Linked DNA regions of Mus musculus. The protein of the gene in region 3 interacts with the protein of the main gene of each other region in a biochemical or structural test. Links are inferred from orthologs where the notes say so. Each region holds a gene or a part of one and is shown on either strand. Other genes may lie near its edges. The genes, in order: Plk2, Gba, Snca, Apoe and Ensa.

The links.
Region 1: of the proteins of Snca (region 3) and Plk2, one has a biochemical effect on the other in vitro, tested with the Homo sapiens proteins (2 studies listed by BioGRID). The link is inferred for Mus musculus from reciprocal best matches to the Homo sapiens genes SNCA and PLK2.
Region 2: the proteins of Snca (region 3) and Gba form a complex in vitro, tested with the Homo sapiens proteins (2 studies listed by BioGRID). The link is inferred for Mus musculus from reciprocal best matches to the Homo sapiens genes SNCA and GBA1.
Region 4: the proteins of Snca (region 3) and Apoe form a complex in vitro, tested with the Homo sapiens proteins (2 studies listed by BioGRID and IntAct). The link is inferred for Mus musculus from reciprocal best matches to the Homo sapiens genes SNCA and APOE.
Region 5: the proteins of Snca (region 3) and Ensa form a complex in vitro, tested with the Homo sapiens proteins (2 studies listed by BioGRID, with this or other methods). The link is inferred for Mus musculus from reciprocal best matches to the Homo sapiens genes SNCA and ENSA.

Annotation. Positions count from the first base shown.
Region 1 is NC_000079.6:110,393,194-110,398,071, reverse strand, and holds the start of Plk2 (serine/threonine-protein kinase PLK2), read right to left. Parts: upstream 3,029-4,878; 5' UTR 2,896-3,028; coding exon 2,635-2,895; intron 2,058-2,634; coding exon 1,950-2,057; intron 1,797-1,949; coding exon 1,680-1,796; intron 1,482-1,679; coding exon 1,352-1,481; intron 1,166-1,351; coding exon 1,078-1,165; intron 602-1,077; coding exon 506-601; intron 385-505; coding exon 186-384; intron 99-185; coding exon 1-98.
Region 2 is NC_000069.6:89,201,214-89,206,045, reverse strand, and holds the start of Gba (lysosomal acid glucosylceramidase precursor), read right to left. Parts: upstream 3,119-4,832; 5' UTR 2,960-3,118; intron 2,855-2,959; exon of another isoform or gene 2,686-2,854; intron 2,575-2,685; 5' UTR 2,560-2,574; coding exon 2,505-2,559; intron 2,062-2,504; coding exon 1,870-2,061; intron 1,772-1,869; coding exon 1,625-1,771; intron 600-1,624; coding exon 466-599; intron 255-465; coding exon 82-254; intron 1-81. UniProt on the Homo sapiens protein: Glucosylceramidase that catalyzes, within the lysosomal compartment, the hydrolysis of glucosylceramides/GlcCers (such as beta-D-glucosyl-(1<->1')-N-acylsphing-4-enine) into free ceramides (such as N-acylsphing-4-enine) and glucose.
Region 3 is NC_000072.6:60,825,913-60,830,590, forward strand, and holds the start of Snca (alpha-synuclein), read right to left. Parts: upstream 3,093-4,678; 5' UTR 2,812-3,092; intron 1,716-2,811; 5' UTR 1,690-1,715; coding exon 1,569-1,689; intron 1-1,568. UniProt on the Homo sapiens protein: Neuronal protein that plays several roles in synaptic activity such as regulation of synaptic vesicle trafficking and subsequent neurotransmitter release.
Region 4 is NC_000073.6:19,696,033-19,700,772, forward strand, and holds Apoe (apolipoprotein E precursor), read right to left. Parts: upstream 3,157-4,740; 5' UTR 2,979-3,156; intron 2,590-2,978; exon of another isoform or gene 2,492-2,589; intron 2,442-2,491; exon of another isoform or gene 2,372-2,441; intron 2,367-2,371; exon of another isoform or gene 2,222-2,366; 5' UTR 2,199-2,221; coding exon 2,156-2,198; intron 1,616-2,155; coding exon 1,447-1,615; intron 1,072-1,446; coding exon 348-1,071; 3' UTR 212-347; downstream 1-211. UniProt on the Homo sapiens protein: APOE is an apolipoprotein, a protein associating with lipid particles, that mainly functions in lipoprotein-mediated lipid transport between organs via the plasma and interstitial fluids.
Region 5 is NC_000069.6:95,627,876-95,630,812, reverse strand, and holds part of Ensa (alpha-endosulfine), read right to left. Parts: intron 2,273-2,937; coding exon 2,106-2,272; coding exon of another isoform or gene 2,102-2,105; exon of another isoform or gene 320-2,101; intron 1-319. UniProt on the Homo sapiens protein: Protein phosphatase inhibitor that specifically inhibits protein phosphatase 2A (PP2A) during mitosis.

The DNA.
Region 1 (4,878 bases), on a different chromosome or scaffold from region 3:
GCTGCGGCTTTCTTAAAGAAATTCTTGGCTGGGCTTGACAAGTGGAAATCTGGAACTGTGTGGCAACAGCTGGAAGAGAGTCTGTCCGGAGTGAAACCCTGTGGAACCAGAAGAGACCATCAGAAACCTCTCCAGCAACCAGGACGATGACACTCAATTTTACAGAAAGGTCAAAGAGCACTGACCTGCAGGAAGAAGTCATGCCGAATGATGTCATCCAAACTGGGGCGGTCCTCTGGGTTTTTGGACAGCATGCTAGCTATCAAGTGCTTAGCAGGGGCCAGCAATGAGGATGGCATGGTATACCTTGCTTCCCTTATGCACCTGTACGTTTCTTTCAGATTTGTGGTTTCGAATGGAGGTCTTCCTAGCAGCATCGTATACCTGGGTACACAGAAGCACATCTTCAGAAATGGTCAAGAAGGAACTCTTTTTGAGCATCATGACTGAGTCAACTTTGGCTTTTTTTTTTTTTTTTTTTTTTTTTTTTAGTGCATTTACTTACATTACACAGCCTAAGGCCCAGATGTCTGATTCACAGCCGTGTCCTTGTTTGTTGAGGACTTCGGGGGAGAGATAATTTGGGGTTCCACATATTGTTCTGAGAAGACAGAATATAGCAAGATCTCATTAGGAACTATGACTTCAATTAAAATTACTTCTCTGGGGATGACTCAATGGGAAATAAAAGCTTGAATTTTTTTTTCTCATTTTCTACTTGACTATTTTTTAGTGTTTTTATTTGACCAAGTTTCTTTTGGTAATTTTTTAATGTGTGTACAATTTGCCCAGCCCATATGACCAAGTATTTTTAACCAGATGAGACCAGATCCTGTGTGTGCGTGTGTACATGTGTATGTGTGTGTATGTATATATCAAGTAAATTTAAACATTTATTTTATTGATTGCCTTAATAATCCATTTAGAGGTGTAAGTTATCTCGCTCAAGAGTGCACACAAGTTTCCGTTTAGTAACACTGCTGTGGTTTGCAGATTGTAGTGTGAACTAACTTTCTATTAACTAATAATAGAGGCATATTTGGTCTCCACAAACCCCAGGAAGAGCATGGCTCTCACCTCCTTCTGTGTTCCAGTGGTTCCAGTCTGGCTGCCAAACCAAAGTCTCCCACCTTCAGCTCCATGGCTTCATTAATAAAAAAGTTCCCTAGAAGATAAACAAAAGGAAACATGAACTCCCTTGGAAAGGTTCACACTTGGAGATCAGCACCCTCCAGTGAAGGCACCCATTCAAAAAGCTAGATTCACAACACTGGAAAACCTCCCACTCTCTAGCCCCCACCCCCCCACCCCCACCCCACCCCCACCCCCGTCGCTGCAGGAGAAGCCTTACCTAGCTTGAGATCCCTGTGCAAGATTTCTTGTTCGTGAAGATACTTGAGTCCTGACACAATCTGCCTGAGGTAGTATCGGACTTCTGGCTCTGTCAACACCTTTCTTGCTTTCAAGATGTGAGCCATGGACTAGGAAGAGAAGGGGAGAGAGGAGAATTTGTCAAATAAAGTTACCTAGATCGGGCATCCCTTTGCTGGACTGACGACGCAGTCTCATATGGTGGGAGACTAATTAACTGTCACGGCTAAAACCGCTGATAAAATGTAATCCAAACACCACTCCGGCTTCCTGTCGGCAAGCTCGCTGACCCAGGAGTCAACACTTACCCTTCTACTGCAGTATTCCAAGAGAATGTAAATGTTTTCTTTGTCTTCAAAGTAGTGGTAAAACTGCACGACATGCTTATGGTGCAGTAGTCTGTGAAGCTCGATTTCTTTGTCGATCTAAGGAAAAATAAAAAAAGCAAGAGAAGGCTTATTAGTCTCTCGTCGTGTCTGGAAAGGCAGTGCTTACACATGCAGAAGACATTTTTTTTCTAACAGGGTAGGGCCATCCCTGCACACAAAGAAAATACTTTAGTCGACAGTCATACCCACCTTTTCCCTCTGATGAGGTTTAGCTACTCTGCTGTGAGGAATAATTTTTGCAGCGTAGACTTTGTTGTTTGTCAGATCTGTCATTTCGTAACACTTTGCAAATCCACCCTGCGAGGAAACAAAGCCGAGATGGAATTGAGCAGGACAGAAAAAAGGAAAAAAAAAAAAAATGAAGGGCCAACGTTTAAAATAAATGAATACGTAAATGGGAACGGGAAGCAAAATTTGAGGAACAGAGGGTGGGCAGAGCAGTACAATCTGCTTTGTATAATGGTTTTTCAGGAAGGGCAGCACATTCCTAGAAACCAGTCCAGTTTTCTCGTTTCCCCTTTACAAAGAACTCTATGGAGAAGGGAGTGGAAGGGGGAAAGGGAGGAAAATGCCCTCTGAAGAAATTTGACAGGCTAGCTCCCTGGGGATCAGATAGTGAGAGCCCAAGGCCAAGGTAGAATGCCTTCAGTCCTCCTTCTTAGACTCGGGAGAAAAACAGGCTAAGGATGCAAATCCGAACCCCAGCGCTGTCGGCGCACAGAAGCCCAGGAGGGCAGGAGAGGAACCCACGTCGATCGTTCGGGGAACCAGACAGCTGAAGGAGCGAGAAGTGCGGGCGCTGGGTCCCTGCTCGCTCAGCTTGCCCGGGCAGCCCGCCCTCCCGCCCGGCAGCCTGACGTCCGCCGCTCCTCACCTTGCCCAGCACTTTGCCCCGGCAGTAGCGCTTCCCCGTCGTGGGGTCGACTATAATCCGCGAGATCTCGGGTCCCGAGTGGGAATGGTGGTGATGGTGGTGCGGGGCCGCCGGGGTCACCTGGGCTTGGGGCTGCCCATCTTCAGAAGGCTGCTGCGGTCGCTTCTTCTTTGAGTCCCCGCCGCAAGCTTTGCCCAGAGCCTGCTCGCACATCTTGGTGCCGGCGGCCGGCTGGTAGGTGATAGTCCGCAGGAGCTCCATCGTTGCCTCGCCACCCGACACTGCCTACTTGCCACCTCCGAGGCGCGGACAAGCGTCCGGGCTAGCCCTGTCCCTCGAGCACCAGTCTCTCTCCCTACTCTCTAGTCTGACGTCCTGCTTCGCTTGTGCGAGCAAGAGCGAGCAGCGAAGCTTTAAATACGCGCCGGCTGGCTGGGGCGGGGCCTCGTGACGTCACGGCGAGCGCTCCACCCACCGGCCCCGGAGTCCGCGCTGTGGATAGGTGCGGGGTGGCCGCCTGGATGTCGTGGGCTTCGACCTGGCCTGAAGGCGGCGGTACGCCAAGTGCCCCCAGTTCGTCGCGTGCCCTGACTTTGGACGTGGGAAACAGAAACCCAAGGGCGGACGCCCTGTCTGGGTCCTGGAGGAGCGGGGATGCGGGGTAGCAGCCCGGGGGAGCCGCAGGGTTGGCACCGCCCTCCTGACTGTGTGCAGCCCCACACCCTGTCATCCAGCGAGCCCCGCGGGGTGGCACCCGGAGACCCGGAGCGCTTGGGGACCTCCGCCGCCACCGCAGGCGGGAGGCTCAGTGGCCGGCCTTGCGGAACCGGGCACCAGGCAGAGCCAGAGCAGCTAGGGAACCAGGCACAATCCGGGTCGCAGATCCGGGTGACCTGCTGTGGCGTGGGAGTATCTGAGCTCCCTGCAGCCTCTTCCCATCGCCTGATAAGTGACCCCTGTCAGAGGCCAGGCTCTTAACCTTGGAGTGGAGCGAGGGCTTGACGACTGGAGAAGGTTTGGTACGCAACAAGTCTAAGCAAGATCGCCATCCTGTGGATTTTTTCAGAAAAACGATTAACGGTCTAAGTGGGCCGAGGTTCCTTAGCAACAATATGGGCTGGCTTCCACAGTAACGCTAAAAGTGTTCTGTTGCCAATTATAATTCTACAATTGAAGTCATCTATAACTTTTTGTTCCAACTAGGTGATTCAGATTGCGTGGATCTAATGTCACTAAGCAATGTCACCGCCCTGGTACACAGAGTCAATCTAAGGTCCCACAGTGGGGTATAGTGGAGAATAAAGGCGGCTGTTCAGTTTTTACAGATTTTACTGTTCAGTTGTACCATCTCAGAGACTTTCCTTCTTCCTTGTTCCAGCGCGTATGGTTCCGTATTAACCGCTGGTAGCTATTTTGAAATGCTGTATACATTTTTTTTGGGGGGGGGGGCAGGGTTTCTCTTTTCTCTGTGTAGCCCTGGCTGTCCTGGAATTCACTCTGTAGACCAGGTTGGCCTTGAACTCAGAAATCCGCCTGCCTCTGCCTCCCAAGTGCTGGGACTAAAGGTGTGCGCCACTACTGCCCGGCCCTGTCTATATCATCTTAATACAATCCTGAATGAAAAAGTCTGCCATATTAGGGGAGGGAAAATCATTTTCCTTCTACCCTTTCAAATTATCACTGTGGTTCCTCGGGCTGGGCAGATAAACTGCAGAACCACAAGTTTCTCCATTCACAACAAAAAGAGTACCCTCCAAAGTGGCTTAGAATTGAGGTTTGAATGCTATCAGAAGCCAAAACAAGAGTGTGGGAAAAGACAGGAAACAAAAGGCAGTCGGGAACAAGGGAGTAAATAGGGAAGAGTTTATGTTTTTCACTGATAAGTTTGTTACTTAGAATCGTTCTTTTTGTCTGGTTCTGGAGACTTAGAACTTGAGACTTCTTTTAATAAATGTGATTTTTTTTCTTTTTCCTTACAAAAAAGTGGTGTGCCACTTTCAGGCTTTCTGTGTCTACCTATCTTTTAATTCAATTCAAACTTATCCCGACTCAGCGGTTACATTGAGGGTGACATAGTCTAGCTACCTGTGGACCTGTTTTGAAGGGACATAGCCTAGTCTACATCTTTCCCATCTTACAGGTGAAGAAACGGGGTCCTAGACGATTTAAATAGCTATTATCAATACATTTTTCATAGAACCACGAAGTTTTGCGAACTCCATGCCCGTCCTATTGTCTCGGTTA
Region 2 (4,832 bases), on a different chromosome or scaffold from region 3:
TGGAATGTTGAAAGTGGAGCAGGTCAAGGGATACGATGTAGACTACGGTGTCCAGATCCCAGGGCCCTGACGATCCCTTACTTGACAAAGTAATTGGCCCAGGTCTGGTGAAAGATATCCCCTGGCTGACCCTTGAGCGACCCCTTCCCATTCACTCTTCCATTGGTCTTGAGCCAAGTGGGTGATGTCCAGGGACTGGCAAAGAGTGAAATGGGGCGTGAGGACATCTTCAGGGCTTGGTGAATCAGGGGTATCTGGAGACAAACAGTGAAGAGAGAGACACCCAGAGCTGGAACACATACTAGTTCTACCAGTGCATCAGGTCCAACCATCAGCCCCCACCCTCTTACCCCCAAGTCAAATAGGCTGCAGAATGTTCCATGTTGCTCTAGAGACAGCTCTAACCTGGACCTTCCCAGCCCCAAGACGGCAATCCAATAGGGCTGAGGCAACTAGAATGCCCACCTTGAGCTTGGTGTCTTCTTCTGGGAGGCTGAAGTTGGATAACTGGAAGTCGTTAGGGGTGTCAGCATAGGTATAGACACGGATGGAGAAGTCACAACTGGCCATGGGTACCCGGATGATGTTATATTCAATTCCTGCAGGAATTGATGGCCAAGATAGGGAGATCTGAATCAATAGGAGACTATGGAGCCAAGTGTACCATGCCTGTGATCCCATTCCTCCTGAGGCTGAGGCAGCCAGATCAATGTGAGCAGGCCAGCCAGGGCTACAAGGCAAGACCCTGTCTCAAAATAAGATAAGATAAAATAAAATAAAACAAGGTGAGTATGAAAATTGGCTTTAATCAGTTATTAGTCCTCAATAGGCCCTCATTCAGAGCCAGGGTCTAGGTGTGGGCTTGTGGAGACCAGAACCTAAGTGAAACCGAAGCCCCTCTGCACATGTATTTCCTAAGTACTTAGCAGAATATTGAAAAAGGTGATCGTATTTCAGTGGCACTGAGTCAGGAACCATCGGCCTGGTACACTTGGTGGCATAATACTTGTAATTCCAGCACTTGGAAAACTAAGTCAGAAAAGAGTTCGAGGCTAGTCATGGCTACAGTGTTCGAGGCAAGCCTGGTAAAGCAAGGTAGGGATGGGACAAAGGGAAAGAGTAAGAACTGAGAGGCAGGCTGGGGATGTAGTTCAGGTGGCAGAATGCCTGCCAAGGATGCATGGCGCCCTAAGTTTGAGCTCCAACACTGTGTGAACTGGGCTTGCTAATGCACACCTGTAATTCCAACACTCAGGAGACGAGAGGCAGGAGTTCAGCCATCACTGACTACACAGTAGATTTGTCTGGAACACATGAGGTCTACTCCAGGAGCATTACAGAGGCGAGGAGAGAAGAAAAGGAAGGGAGGCAAATGTCCGGGAAAAGTATGGAAGCAAGAGCAAAAAGCCTGGCAAGACAGCTCCGTGGGAAGACCCCCGACTCTAGCCCATGGGTCCCATGGTGGACAGTGGACACCCGAAAATTGTCCTCTGACCTCCCCCTCACTCATGCACAGCACACACAAGAGATAATGAAATGTAATAAAAAATTTAAAAATAAAATAAAGCCAGGGTATGAAAAGGGGCATAAGTTACAGTGTACCACCTTGCTCTGCCCTCCTCACCGTTGGTAGAGAAGTAGGATCTGAGTAGCAGCTTCTGAGTAGGTGGGGACAAAGCAAGGATGTTGAGCGCAGTGGCGTCTGTCATGGCGCCTCCAAATCCTTTCACTTTCTGGAACTTCTTTTCTGGCTGCAAAGTGAGTAGTAACCCTGGGAAAAGAAGAGGAAAAGTCAGAGTCCAGAAGAGGACATGCTGATCACTGGTGTGACTTTGGGTCCAGGCTTAGAGGGACAGATAAAGTGGCTACCTGTGCCAGTGCGATTGGCCTGGATGGCCCCGACACTCAGCTCCATCCGACGTCCACGTCGAGTGCTCTCGTAACGGCTGAAGGTACCCAGAGCCGGTAAGGTCACGGGGTCAAGAGAGTCACAGTACGATGCATTACAGACACAGACCACTGAGCTGTAGCCAAAGCTTTTGGGGATGCAGGGTTGGGCACCTAGGAGGCAGGGCACAAGCAGAGGCAGGCATCAAAGCGGGTTTATGAGGGAGTGGGCATGCTAGGTACGAGACAGAACAACAATTAAAAAAAAAAAAATCCGGGCTGGTGAGATGGCTCAGTGGGTAAGAGCACCCGACTGCTCTTCCAAAGGTCTGGAGTTCAAATCCCAGTAACCACATGGTGGCTCACAACCATCTGTAACGAGATCTGACGCCCTCTTCTGGTGTGTCTGAAGACAGCTACAGTGTACTTACATATAATAAATAAATAAATATTTTTTTAAAAAAATCCTTCCACCATACTCCCAGCCCAAAGATGTCTCAGGCATTCTAAAAGAGTTACAGAGTCCCTACTGAAATTTCAGCACCATAATGGAAGGCTACCAGAGGACTTTGGGGGCAGGGGACACCTTCATGCCTCCATCTCCATCCTAGACTCACCATATGCCCAAGATACCGCCTGAAATAGGAAGAATCCGATGAGCCTGGCAGCCATGACACCAGCACACTTCTGAGAAGAAAATGTAGAGGAAAGATAATAGTGTAAGACTCTCTCTACCCTGCAACCACCCTCCTGGCCAGAGTTTAGCTGCCTGTGGATGCTCACAGCATAGGCTCCCACCTTTATTAGTGATTAGACAGTGCCCGTAGACCCTGGAGGCGTCCTGCATTCATTCACTCTGCTAGGGAGTTTGCTGCCCACTCCAAAGAAGACTCTCTTCACTCTTTTCCCCCATCGATTTCAACCTTCAGCCCTCCCTCCATCTGTGCCCTCAAAGAGCCATGATGCCCTGAATTTAAAAAAAAAAAAATTGAACTCACCGAATTCCATAATCTAGATAGGCAGAATTCCCGAAGCAAGATTGACAAGGCAAATTGTAGCCCTGCCCGCTTACCTCTCCAGAAGATCTTGGAAACTGGAGCTACTCAGGACCAGCGAATGAGAAGACTGTGGAAGTTTCTGTGCCTTGGAGGGATAGAAGACCTACCAAATAAAACACAGACAGATATCATAGCTCTTGGAACCGACTAGCACAGCAAGTTCCTTCCGGCTTAAAGGGGCGGACAGAGTCACATGATGACTAAGCCGGTCACGTGATGCAGGAAGTGAAGCAATCGAAGCCATATTTGTAATGGGCAGTTGGGCTCTTCTAGGTTAGTCATTCATTGCATACCCTGTGAATTTTGGGGAGGCCTAAAGGATGACACCTTTAGGAAGAGAATTCTAACAAGGATTGTATGGACAGCTGAGTAGAGGCTCCTAAATCCAAGACAGAGAGGACTTCTAGCCTGTGAGGGCCACTGTATTCACATGCACATACCGACACACAGATATACATAATTTAAAAATAAAATTTAAAAATAAAAACAAGGGGCTGGAGAGATAGCTCAGCGGTTAAGAGCACTGACTGCTCTTCCAGAGGTCCTGAGTTCAATTCCCAGCAACCACATGGTGGCTCACAACCATCTGTAATGGGATCTGACGCCTTCTTCTGGTGTCTGAAGACAGCTACAGGGTACTCGTCATATATATAAAAAATAAATAAATAAATATTTTAAAGAAAATATTTATTTATTTATTATATGTAAGCTGTCTTCAGACACTCCAGACCTCTGGAAGAGCAGTCACTGCTCTTAACCACTGAGCCATCTCTCCAACCCCAAATAAAATCTTTTAAAAAAATAAAAATAAATAAAAACAAAATTTAGAAACCCCACATACAGCCTGGAATTGGTGGCACATGCCTTTAAATCCAGCACTTGGGAGGAAAAGGCAGGCGGATCCCTGTGAGTTCAAGGCCAGCCTGGTCTATGGGGCAATTTCCAGGACAGCCAGTCCTGTTACACAGGGAAACCCTATCTCGAAAAACAACAACAAACCCCACATACACACAATCTTTATCCTAAAAAGACTAGTGAGACACATGAGTCAGACACTTACACGGAGTTACAGGCGAAGACAGACAGAAATGTTGAGAGGTATACTTGCAAGACTCCTTGAGAGGAAAGGGGACCCTTCCCAGAAGAACAGGCGGGGGGGGGGGGGGGGGGGAGTCACAGTAAGTGCAGGGAGTTGCTGTCGGGCTCTGGAGATCAGGACCAAGGGAGGGAGTGGTCCCCACTGGCCGTTTCTGGATTCTCTTGCTTTATCATCAGATGCTGGCTGGAAAGCTCTTCATCCTTCCTCCCAGGAAACTGGAAAATGCTGTCTGTCTTTGGTGGACACAAGAAGAGGGCTGTCGTCCGGGTTTCCTTGTGAGCCACAATAAAGTTGATTAATTGGCAGTGACACATGCAGCGTGATCTGACTAAGTCCAGGTCTCTGAGCCTGTTTCCACACTTGCCCAACATAGACACCAGCATAGTCTCACAGAACCATTACTAGCGTTAGCAAGAGAAGTCAAGGGAAGTCTGAGCCTGTTTCCACACTTGCCCAACATAGACACCAGCATAGTCTCACAGAACCATTACTAGCGTTAGCAAGAGAAGTCAAGGGAAGTCTGTAATTACACATTAGGAGCTTTATGCTTGCTGAGTGAGGTTTTTACATTCTTATAATTACCACATACCCTTTTTAAAAAATTGATTAGTTATCTTCTTCAGCTCTGGCAATATTTAAATTACAGTTGCTTGGAGCTGCATTGGTTTGAGTCCTGGCAACTGGCAATCATATACTGTTTGGTTATCACTTTAAGAATCAGTAGCTGGGTGCTCGCTTCGGCAACACATATACTAAAATTGGAACAATACAGAAAAGATTAGCATGGC
Region 3 (4,678 bases):
TAAAATTAGCTCATTGACACCCTTCTCTTACAATACTCATTACAAGACTTTCTGAAAGGATGTTTTAAGTAGAAAAAGAGAATTAATTCAATGTAAAATTATTCTGTGAAGAATTAGGAAAGGTGATCTGCTAGAAACTTCAATGAAAAGACACATTCATGAAAATGTTTACAAGTATCAATTCCTCACTGATCGTTTGGAGGGTCAGCATGGCTTCCCCCGATTGGTACTCTGGGTAGCATCTGCATCACTTTTGCCACCTGTTCTGCTCCTTTTCAGCCTGAATGTTTACCCTGAGTCTTCCACCAAGAGAGATGCCCTCCTAAGAAGGTGGAAACAGTGTTCACAGGAGGAAAGAGAGGTAGATGAACCCTGCAACTGTGCTCCCATGTGCACCTGTGTCTCTGCTGGGGATAAGCATGTGTGCATGGGTGTCTATTCCTTCCATGAAAGTACTAGAAGGGATTTGTAAAGTTACAGCCAATTTAACACAGGGAAAGACAGAGAAAGGGAGTGTTGGCCTTCCTTTCAATGTGTACAGTCAGGCAGAAAATGGCACTAAATATCAACCTCTTACTGTTCAGCATGTATGATCTCTGACAGGTGAACTAAACAAACATTTCTGAAGTTCCTTAAGTCCCGCTGTTCCCACTGACCAAGTGATCCCTAAAAGGAGATCCACCAAAGAAGACTTGCTTTCTTTCTTCTATTTGAGGGTCAAAGGAGTTGTATTTTCACAGTTGTAAAATAAAATTATGCAAAACTATTGTTTAAAGCTTTATAATTTATTAAACTTAGCAGGTATTACCTATAGTGATGATGAAAGAAATCAAAGTCCCATGAGTACTTGTGGCTCACTTTCTTTCTTTCTTTCTTTCTTTCTTTCTTTCTTTCTTTCTTTCTTTCTCTTTCTTTCTTTCTTTCTTCCTTCCTTCCTTCCTTCCTTTATTTCTTTATTTCTTTGTGTGTGTGTGTGAGTGTGTGTGTGTGTGTATGTGTGTGTGTGTATGTGTGTATGTGTGTATGTGTGTGTGTAAGAGAGAGTGTGTGTGTGTGTATTGTGTGTGTGTGTGAGTGTGTGTGTGTGTGAGAGAGAGAGAGAGAGAGAGAGAGAGAGAGAGAGAGTGTGAGTGTGTGTGTGTGTGTGTGTGTGTGTGTGTGTGTGTTCTCACATAGTTCAGGCTGGCATCAAATTCTCTGTGTAGCTGAAGATGACCATCAACTCCTGGTCCTTGGGCCTCCACTTCCCAAATGCCACCAGGCTTACTGCCATACATGTCTTTGATTCATAAGCATATTCTTGGTTATTTTTCATGGGTTGCCAATTTTTAAAATTCAGTGTATTCATACACAGAAACAGAAAACCAAATAAAAAACCTACATAAATAACAAGATTAATGAATCTAAGGACAGAAAACATTGTCCCTGTTTGTTTCTGAGAGCTAATATGCAGGTTCATATTCTCTCACCTCCACACAGCTGTCACTCTTCTGAGAAGCTGTGATGCACACGAATCAGACACCACACACCAGCCACCCCAATTCATTAGTCACAGTGTCACTACCTACCTACATAGAGGACTCCCTCTTTTGTCTTTCCAGCTGCCTCTGCCACACCCTGCTTGGTTTTCTCAGCAGCAGCCACAACTCCCTCCTTGGCCTTTGAAAGTCCTTTCATGAACACATCCATGGCTAAAGATGTATTTTTGCTCCACACTAGAGAATACAGAATACATTTTGAATTAGAAAATTTGGGTAAAAAAATAATAATAATAAGGTTTAAAACAGCTAGAGAAAGAAAGGAAATTGAGGGGGAAAAATCAGTATGCCTTCCCCCAAGTCCTGGTGTAAGTGTGATTTCTTGGGTGGGGGGATGTGGGGGTGCTGGGCACAGTGTTGATTGATTGTTGAGTTATGTCACTCAATACTAGGAAAAAGTCATGTCACTTAAGGATGGGATGGATCTAGTTTGATCATTCGACTGCTCTTACATACATATTTCAGAAGAAGAGTTGCAGAAGGGGAGGTGGGCATCCTCTACCCCATCAAGTTCCCAGGGCCCAAAGGTTACATTCAAAGTAAAAAGACTATCTAGAAAAGGAACATGGGAGGTGGGCGTACAGAGATGGAGTGGGGGCAAGAGGATAAAAGACCCAGAGAGGAGTCAGTCTTTGGAGAAGGAAGGGAGGGGAACTGTTTAATCTAGAAGTAGGGAACTGCTTGAAGCCCAGCCTTTCTAATCTTGCAAGACCTTCTGCCCACCACTAGCTCTTTGCCTGCTATCTGCCCAGAGCAGGCGCTGTCCATACACTTGAGCAGTCTCACTTGAGCACCACCCAACCAAGAAGCTCTGTCCTCAGCTGGAATCCTCTAGAAGACCCTGCACCCCATGCTCATTAACCCTTTATCACCTGTTGCCTACTGTCCTCTGCACTTCTATTAATCATGGGCCAAAGGCACCCTTCTTCCTCTACAGAAAGAAGCTGAAATGCCTGGGGTTGGAGCATGAAAGTTGGATGCTCAAATTCCACCCAATGCCCAGCACTAAGCTTCCACCATCCAGCACTCAACATGAAACACCCTAGCGTTTCCGCTTGAAAAAGCAGATGCCACAGGCAACCTGGCCTTTCCCTCGGGCTTTGACAGGATGGAAGGGCATGTCTCCAGCGAAAGGAAAGCCGAGTGATGTACTTTCCACGCACTGGCCCAGTCCCCACCGCCAAAGCAGCTGTAGTTGGTCTTCTCTAGGCGTCCCGGCTCTTTGCTCCGGCTAGCTAAGATCCCCAGAGCTGCCCCATCTACAGGTACTTACCGGCTCCCTAGGCTTCTGAAGAACTCCGATTCTTCCTGTTTTCCCCAATCTAATTTCAATGAAAGAGGCAAGGGCAGGCAGGGGCAGGGGGAACACCTGCTGGTCTCCTGCCGTCTGCTGCCTGCTGCCGGGCGCTCTGGCTCCCTGGCTCCTTCACGTCGCCCCCGCAGCTGATTTGTCAGCGCCTCTCCCCGCCCCTCGCCTGCCTCGTGCCTTCGCTCCTCTTCCTAGGGAGGGGACGGGTTGGTTGGAGGTGCGGTGCGTGAGGGCTGTGGGTATCTGGAGCACATTCCCCCGGATGGAAGGAAGAGAGGACGGCCTGAGCCTCCCCTCGAGTTCAGAGGGCCCTCAGTTTTATCGTGGCTGAACTTGAGCTGGCGCCTCTCCTGCCCCACCCCCCTCCTTCCCTGCCTCAGTCTGTTCCCAGTTCCTCTAGGCGACCCCCTCCTCCAGGACGAGCCCAGATGCCACACCAGAGAGCTGGACCGCCTGAAATGGTCTGTGTGCGGAGCCAGGCAATGGAGAGGGAGCACACACCCTTGGGGTTGCTTTTGTTCACACAGCTTAAGATTTCCATTTGTTTTTACCCCGGAGGAGTCTAAAAGGGTTCTGGGTGCAAAGGGGAGCCGACTAAGGAAGAGTTACAGGTCGAAGAAGCAGGGGGAGGCTCAGCAAATCCTCATTCCCACTCCACTATCACCATTTTCTTTTCCACCAATCAGCGGCTGCCAGACGCTGATTTTTTTTTCCCCATCTGTGGAGCAAGGAATAAATATCCCCCAACCGTCGAAAACCAGCTGCCTCAAGGCTTTTTTGCACTTGAGAAAGTGGCTTACTATAGAGTTACAGGATAGGAAGGTAGCGGCTGTGGGATTCACCCTCTGGGACCATCACAGGCAGTTTCTTCCTTAGTCCCTACTTAATGGCAGATTTTGCACACCTCTTACCTTTCCGACTTCTGGCTGCGTGGAGCTCCAGCGAACAGACTCTTCTTCCAATCCAAGCACACGCGCAGATAGATGCACAGGCTTTGAGACAATTTCTGTGTTACTTAACACGTTCCCACTTCTCTCTGAGATGAGCAGAATACCACTGTTTTATAGCAGAGTGGATTTGAGTGCCAAGCTCCTCCCCCAGCAGAGTGCCTTGCTTTTCCTTTCTTGTATTCTGAACTTGTGTTGGGCACTGGAAGCTAAATCAAGCGTTTACTGTATTAAAAGGGGGGGGGGGTCGTAGGAGGGAATGCTTTCTCTGATCCTTGAAGTCAGTTGACTTCTGAATCCTGAAAAATAAATAAATAAATAAATAAATAAATAAATAAATTGAAGTCTAAAAAAGCATTTGAAACAAGGGACAAGCAGCTTGTTTGGCATGCTATAAAGGAAGGAGGCAGATAAAACCACAAATGCAGAGTACAAGTAATGTGACAGAAATTAACTGTTTAAGCAACGCCTTCAATTCTTATTCCCTTTAAAAATCAACCTTCCTACACACTAGTGGCACATACCATGTTTACTTGAAATTAAAGGAAAAGGTGGCACCTCTGCAGTAGATAGGGTTAGATCCTGGGCTCTAGCATCCCCATCCTGCCAAGTTAGGACACCTGTCCTCAACCAGCCAGGTAAAGTGACATATAAATAGTGAAATACTAGAAATGGGAGTAATTCAATGTGGCCACGTTAAGAAGAGGAACAGAGGTTTAGTGCCCCAAGTTCATCTTGTTTAGATAGAGGTCAGGATGTATGTATGACTAAGCAGTAGGTCAAAGTGTGCTTCCAGCTACTGTCTCTGTCTCCGCTCCAGTCTCTTCTGCAAGGAGGTCTGACTAAGTATCTGATATCTGATATTTCTTCCTGGGAGACATGCT
Region 4 (4,740 bases), on a different chromosome or scaffold from region 3:
CTGCGGGTGGCTCAGTGGTAGAGCCCCTGCCTAGAATCCCCCAGTGAGGGGCTGTGGGCGTGGCTCAGTGGTAGATCACTTGTTCTTTTATGTTGCTAGGTCCTAGGCTTCATTTCTATTGCTGCAAAACCACCTCCCTCTACAGATAGTGACAGGGCCATGGAATGTGTGCTAGGTAAGGCAAAAAACAATAAACTGAGGCTGAAGCTGATTGGAATCACTCACAGAGACTCAGAATGTGCTCGGAGAATCTTTATTAAGCAAGGGCCACCAGAGGGCCAGAGAGGTGCTTGAGACAGGGCCACCTGGCTGGATATGGATGTTGTTGCAGGACAGGAGAAGGATACTCATTGATTCTCCTGGGCCACTGGGGTGATGATGGGGTTGGTAGCCACAGAGGCCTGTATCTTCTCCATCAGGTTTGCCCACTGGCGATGCATGTCTTCCACTATTGGCTCGAACCAGCCCTTGAGGCGGGCCTGGAAGATCTCCGCCTGCAGGCGTATTTGCTGGGTCTGTTCCTCCATCTTGGAGCGCACCTCCTCCATGTGCTCACGCACCTCCTCTAGGCGGTCACGGGCCTGGTTGCCCACTTCCTCCAGCCGCCCTCGGATGCGGTCACCAAAAGCCTGGGCGCGATCGCGCAGAGGCTGGGCGGCCCCAGCGCCTAGGTTGGCAGTGCGCTGGCGACCTTGCTCCACCAGAGGCCCCAGGCGCTCACGGATGGCACTCACACCGCGCTCGGCGCCCTCGCGTGCCCCTGCCTTGTACACAGCTAGGCGCTTCTGCAGATCCTCGGCATCCCGCATCAAGCGCTTGCGCATCTTGCGCAGGTGTGTGGAGAGCCGCGCCCGTATCTCCTCTGTGCTCTGGCCCAGCATGGTGTGCACCTCGTTGCGGTACTGCCCGAGTCGGTTGCGTAGATCCTCCATGTCGGCTCCGAGTCGGGCCTGTGCCGCCTGCACCTCTTTGCCCAGCCTGGCCCGTGTCTCCTCCGCCACTGGACCCAGCTGTTCCTCCAGCTCCTTTTTGTAAGCCTTTACTTCCGTCATAGTGTCCTCCATCAGTGCCCTGCAGGCCCAGAGGAAACACAGGAAGGAGATGAAGGCAGGACAGAAGGGCCAGAAACCACAGAGCAAGAGGTGATGGTACTCGCTTGTGTTCCCAGAAGTTGAGAAGCTGCGGCATAAGAATTGCAGAGCCTTCGAAGCCAGCTTGAGTTACAGAATGGGATCCTGTCTCAAGAAGCCAAAAGCCAATCGACCAAGCAAGTAATAAATGTCTGTTCCTCCCAGCATCCAGAAGGCTAAAGAAGGCAGGAGGATTCAAGGCCAACCTGGGCTACACACTAATTGAGAAAGGAAACAAGAAGGGGCTGGGGACCCAGATAGGAGGCAACCCTGGATCAGCTGGTGCCTGCCGAGGGTGAAAGAGCTGGACACTCACGTCAGTTCTTGTGTGACTTGGGAGCTCTGCAGCTCTTCCTGGACCTGGTCAGACAGCGTCTGCACCCAGCGCAGGTAATCCCAGAAGCGGTTCAGGGCCTGCTCCCAGGGTTGGTTGCTTTGCCACTCGAGCTGATCTGTCACCTCCGGCTCTCCCTCGGCTAGGCATCCTGTGTAGAGTAAGTTTAAGGCTGGGTCAGGACCTACAGTCTTTTTGGGTCTCTTTGAAGTGGGTCTGGAGGCTGTGGAGTCTGTTTAGATACTACAAGCATGCACTGTCTTGTATCCTATGTAGTTCAGAGCCGAGACTAGGCAGGTGTGGAATTAGAAAATGTATACCCCACTTTTAAGAGCAACTAAGAAATCAACTTTTTATTGTGTGTGTGTGTGTGTGTGTGTGTGTGTGTGTGTGTACCCTTGGAGGTCAGAGTTCTAGAGGGAATTGGCTCTCTCCTTCCACTATGTTGGTCTCAGAGTTAAGTCTTCAAGCTTTATGATAAGCACCTTTACCCACTAAGCCATCAATCCTCTTATAGTTAGGGGAAATCAAGGCCTAAAGAGTATATAAAACAGCTGCTCAGGGCTATTGAATCTCAGAGAGGTCTCAGAACCGCCTCAGCCTCAACCCACCAGCAGAAGAGATCTAGGGCTAGAATAGAGTCCACAGAGGAGCAGAAAAAGCGGCACCACAGCAAGTCCTTGCTCCATACCTGTCAGCAATGTGACCAACAGCACGGCCCACAGAGCCTTCATCTTCGCAATTGTGATTGGCCAGTCTGCGGAGGGAAAAATTGTCTTTGAACACCAGGGGGCGGGGGTGGAGGGACTCCGGCCACCCAGAGAACCCCATCTTCCCTTCTCAGATCTGTGAGCCATCACAAACATCTCCAAAACAGAGCACCCGCTCTTCCCAAAGGTCTGTTTACCTCCCCTTGCCGAGTTCGCTATCTCGGCACCCCGGGGTGGATCCGCTGCCAAAAATTCCAGCTCCCTCTCCTAGGGTTCAAATTCCACTTCACAGAGGGCCAGCGGGTGGTCCAGCTTACATTCCTCTTTCTTCCCGGCTAAGTCCTGCTTTCCATTTTGTGTTAATTTAACACGATTTTTAATCGTCCTCCATCCCTGCGAAGTGGTACCCTCCCACAACTACAGAACTTAGGGAGCTCAGCCATGAGGAGCCACAGTTTGAAACCAGTCCGGGTTACTTGGGGACTGTGATGGAAATCAGTAGGTATTTATATAAAAGCAGCCTAAGGCTCATCCCGAGTTTTTTCGCCATAGGATGGTTCCTAGTTGAGCCGGTACGCCGTGCACCGACAGTCCCGTACTCCTTCCTGGAGGTAACCCCTCCACCTGCTCTGACTCTGGCAAAGGCTAGTTACCTCGAGTCCTTAGTTTGTCCCCCAAGACTTCTATCGTGCTGCCTGCTTTTCCAATTCTTGTGCCTGTTTCCTGGACTCCGGGGGATCTCAAGGTTCCCAGCCCACATCCTACCAAGGTCCCTGGGTGAATCCCCAGCCCAGCTTGTCTTACCAGCTCCTTCCGAAACAAGTCCTTAGCCTCCAGGGTCTGAGCAGGGGATCGGATCCCAGACCGGTCCAATTATAGGACTCCCCCTGTCCCGCCCCCTCCTCAGGGCTAGGGCGGGCTGTGCCAGCCCCCTGTCACGAGGCGGGTTGTTCTCTCCCCCTTCACAGCAGGGCAGAGGAAAGAGGTGGAGTTTGGATGCCTTGTGACCCCCCGCTCCCCTCCCCCGCCAACAAAGGGAGCGGACACCTCATTGAATAATCCAGGCCTTGGTACTGGGGCACTGAGAACCGCTCCTTCCCTTTCCCCGCGGGGTCTGGTGCATTGTAAAGAAAAGAGCTGGCAGCCTAAATGGAAATGGGTGGGTGGGGGCTAAGAGGCTCAGCTTCTGGGGTGAAGATCGTTGTTCTGGGATCCCTCGTTGTTGATTCCTCCACCACAGGTGAACTCTTTCCATTCCAAGGCTGGGACGTGCTCCAGTTCCTTCAGGAGCTGTTCAGTGGTGGCTCCCGATGGGTTTGAAGCCATACATTAAGCCAAGCCCTGGGAAACCAAGCGTTGATGCTCCTGATCTGTTTCTGGCGATTGCCAGATGTGTCACCTTGGGAGGGAAGAGCTACCCCTACAGAGCACATTTTAAAAAGTTGTTTTGAGATAAGATTCTCAGGCTGCCCTCTAACCCACAAAGGTCCTTCTGCCTCTGCTGTAGCATGCTGGGACTGCAGGTGTGCACCCCTGCATGTGCATTTTCCACTCTCAAGCCACTTCTCTTTTCTTTTTCCTCATAAAAGCAGAAGAGCAGGAGCTGGAGAGATGACTCAGAGGTTAGGAGCACTGACTGCATTTCACAGGACCTAGGTTCAAAATCGCAGCACCCACACAGCAGCTCACAACTGTAACACCAAGATCTGCTACCCTCACGAAGGCATACATGCAGGCAAAACACTAATGCACATAAAAAAAAAAAAAAAAAAAAAAAAAGACAAGCCATAAGTCATTCACTGGAACATGGGTCTATAGTGCTAGCCATATGCAAAGCTGAGGCAGGAAGATCCCGAGCTCAGGTAATAGAATGAAGTCCTGGCTAAAAAGTGGAAAAGCCAGCTGGGCGTGGTGGCACATGCCTTTAATCCCATAATCCCAGCACTTGGAGGCAGAGGCAGGTGAATTTCTGAGTTGGAGGCCAGCCTGGTCTACAAAGTGAGTTCCAGGACCGACAGGACTACACAGAGAAACCCTGTCTTGAAAAACAAAAAAAAACCCAACAACAACAAAACCCCCAAAAAGTGGGAAAGCCATTGTACCTGGGAAGTCAGGTAGGACAAGGGGCTCAGAGACCACAGCAAGCTTGCTAGAAGCACTGCCTGCACAAGGTTCCCTGTTCCCAGCTGTTGATGGCAGGAGAGAAGCCACATAGCAGTGTTTGGCACCAGACACGGCAAAACATGATTCTGCAGGATGGGCAGAGGCGGAACACCTGGCTCCAAGGGTACGTACAGGGTGCCTGGCCAGGCCCAGGCCTGTTAGCTTTGGCTTCAGAAAACACTGGCAAGGACTGGGTGTGGTGAGATGATTTTCATGGGTTGCTAAGGGCCAGCTCCCATCTCCAGCCCAGGCAGTAGAGAGGGTCTTAGTGCTGCGGTCTAGGACACTGACCAGTTCATCGTGAGTCTTTGCTTCCCTTGGGATGCCATGAGGTGCAGCAGTGAGATGCAGAGCCCAATCTGAGGCCCTTATCGCACACCCCAGAGCAGGCCTCACGGAAAAG
Region 5 (2,937 bases), on a different chromosome or scaffold from region 3:
GTCTTCTGAATGTTAGGAAAGTATTCTACATACGAACTACATTCCTAGCCCTATCTTTGCTTTTTATTTTGAGACAGGGTCTCACTAAATTCCCAAGGCCAGCTGTGAACTCACTCTGTAGCCCAGGCTACCAGCCTGCCTCAGTTTGTTGAACAGCTGGGATGACAAGCCAGCTTGATTTCCCTATTTCTCCTGTCCTTTTCTAAAAACCAGACTCATTGTGAACATATCAGCTCTGGAGACACAAATCTAACCAATAGATAAGGCAGCTCAGACAGGGGAGAAAAAGGTACAGAATTCGAGAAGATCGGAGATGAAGAAAACGTACAAAATTATATATATATTTATATATATAATAACATGACATATCTATGTAAACATGGTTGGGACATTGAAGAAACTATACAGTGATGTTCAGTTTGTCCCCTTCCCACATGGACTTCTCATTAAGGATGACAGCATGAGAAAATGGAGCAAAAAACACAAAATTATATACATTACAAATGAGAGTCAAAGAGTTTGGGGGCCAGGGAGACCAGGGGTCCTGCTCTCTCCATTCCTTCCTCACCAATCTATTTCTACCCAATCTGAATGATGGCCAGAGACCTGGGCAGTGGCCAATCAGGAGAAGGGCATATTTACATGTCCTTCCCCTAACACACACATCCACAAACTCGCCAGACATCCTAAGGGCACAGTGCAATCTGGAAAGGGGAGAGAGACTGCACCATCTTGCTCTTTTGAGCAGTTCTCACTCTGGCCCTCTCTGTCGATGACGAGCAGGTGGCATTTAGTAAGATCCAGGCCAAACTAGTGATGACACAGCAAGACAGGCTGCTGCCTCCCTCCCTGCACCCTCTTTCCATCCTCCACCAGTGAATCATCTGCTAAGGAGCAGCTGCTCCAGCTGGCAGTAGCTCTAAGCTCTGGGGACCAGCTCCCTTCATCCCTTCTTCCTCCATGCCTAACATACATCTGAAGCAAGATGCCACGTCAATGAGCCTGTCTCCTCAGGCCTATCCAGTCTGCTGCCAGAGCAGCTTTGTAGCAGCTAGGGTCAACAGCAGACCCAGGAAAATGGGCAGAGTCAAGACACATCCAGGGACAGCCTTTTCAGGTTTGTTCTCTTTCTCTCTCAAAAAGGCTATGATACCTATGAGACTGTTGTTGGAAGCTATGGCCCTTAAATCTCAAACTCTCTCTCGTCCCATGTAGCACTTCTGGCTCTACAGAGCTGAGGTTCAGCCATGGGCCTGCCTCAATTTTGGTTTTATGATGACCAGAAGGGTATGGCAGGTGTAGGACTTTAGAGTCAGAGTTAGCCTACACACGCGTTTCCGTCTGTTTACAGACGAGGAACAGGATCAATTCAGAGAGGCTACAGACCTGGCCAAGCTCACACATCAGTGCTGTTGAGCTTGACAAAAACTACAGCCCAAGTATTTCAACTCCTAAACTCTTTCCATTATCCCATAATACTTTCAAAAAGCAACATGCTGGAAGAGAAAAGATACCATTTTCTTTTTCATAAGTAGCTAACGTCTGTTAAACTTTACACTCCTTGAGAAGCAGGGCAGCTGTTGGAGGAACACAGCAGAGGGGTTAGGTGGGCCCTGTAATTTTAAGCAAGCAGAAATCTCCTCTCTTTTGAAGGTCCCCTAAACACCCACGATGGGAACACAGAGCACAGAGGCCTAAGGGACAGCACACTTAGAAGCACAGAGAGCATCTCCTTCACTCTACCTTTCTCAGCATGTCAATTCAGCCTTGGGACACTGAACCTGTCACACTGCTCCACGATAGCCCGTCTAAGGACTTGCTCCTCCAACAGGAGAACTTGCATCTTCCACATTCTCACCACAGGAAAAGCTGCAGCACTCTGCACTCCTAGTCTTTCCTACTCTTGGGTCTCTACTGGGCTATCATGAGGGTGTACAAGTTTCAATTTACCCAAAGAAATGAACTCAGAGCCCATCTTCAACCTAAGCCCCCAGCAGAATGTCTCCCCTGGATGGCAAGCTGAGCTCTGACTAGGTGCCCATTCCCTGCCTACAATATATAACAGTCCAGTGGGTGAGGAAGGGGAAGAGAGGGGCCCAGGTTACCCCGCAAGCTTGCTGGTGACGAGCGAGGACTTTCTCTGGGGCAGGTCCTGTGGGGTGGGGATGTGGTCACCGGTCACCAGGTTCTTGTCTGCTCCTGCACTTGGCAGCTGCTTGTTCTTCATCTTGGCTTTGGCCATGTTGTAGTCTCCTGAGTCAAAGTACTTTTGCTAAGAGACAGGAGCGAGGTTTAGATGAATGTGCAACCTTGGTGTTCTCCAAAAGCAGAGACTCACTGTCTACCGTCAGCATAAGCTCCCACCTACCTCAGCTGTCTAAGTATTCCCCATGCACACAGTCCACATTACTCACTTGTAAGTTCATTTCCCAGCATGCTCTGACCTTGTCAGAATATAAGCAGATTACTAGCAGAAACATGTACCTTTGTTGCATAAGGGGCAGCTGTGTCCCTGAACCTAGGTGACAACTCCTGTATCTTTTGTACCTTACTGAGTACTAGAAGGTTCAATTACAATCACTTACTTCATTCGTAACAGCTAGGTGCCAAAGCAATACCTTGGTGCTGGGGAAAAGCATGAATAAGACTCAAGAAGAATCAATCTGGGTCTACCAGCAGCTAGAGACCAACCAGAAACCGACTATCAGAGTTAGAAAATATTCTCAGAGCAGGATTAGGCACTGGGCTTGCTCGTGAGGCAGTGAGCTTTCCAGACTCCCACCACTCCCACACATGTTCCATGGTGAGACTGTCTGCCTACGCCTGGCTCGCCTCAAGAGGAGCTGCAATTCAACATCACACTGTCATCTGTGACTAAGACTGAGCACCTGGGATTCTCCACAGGAGGCTGCTTCTCTCTCCATCTCATCTTTACAC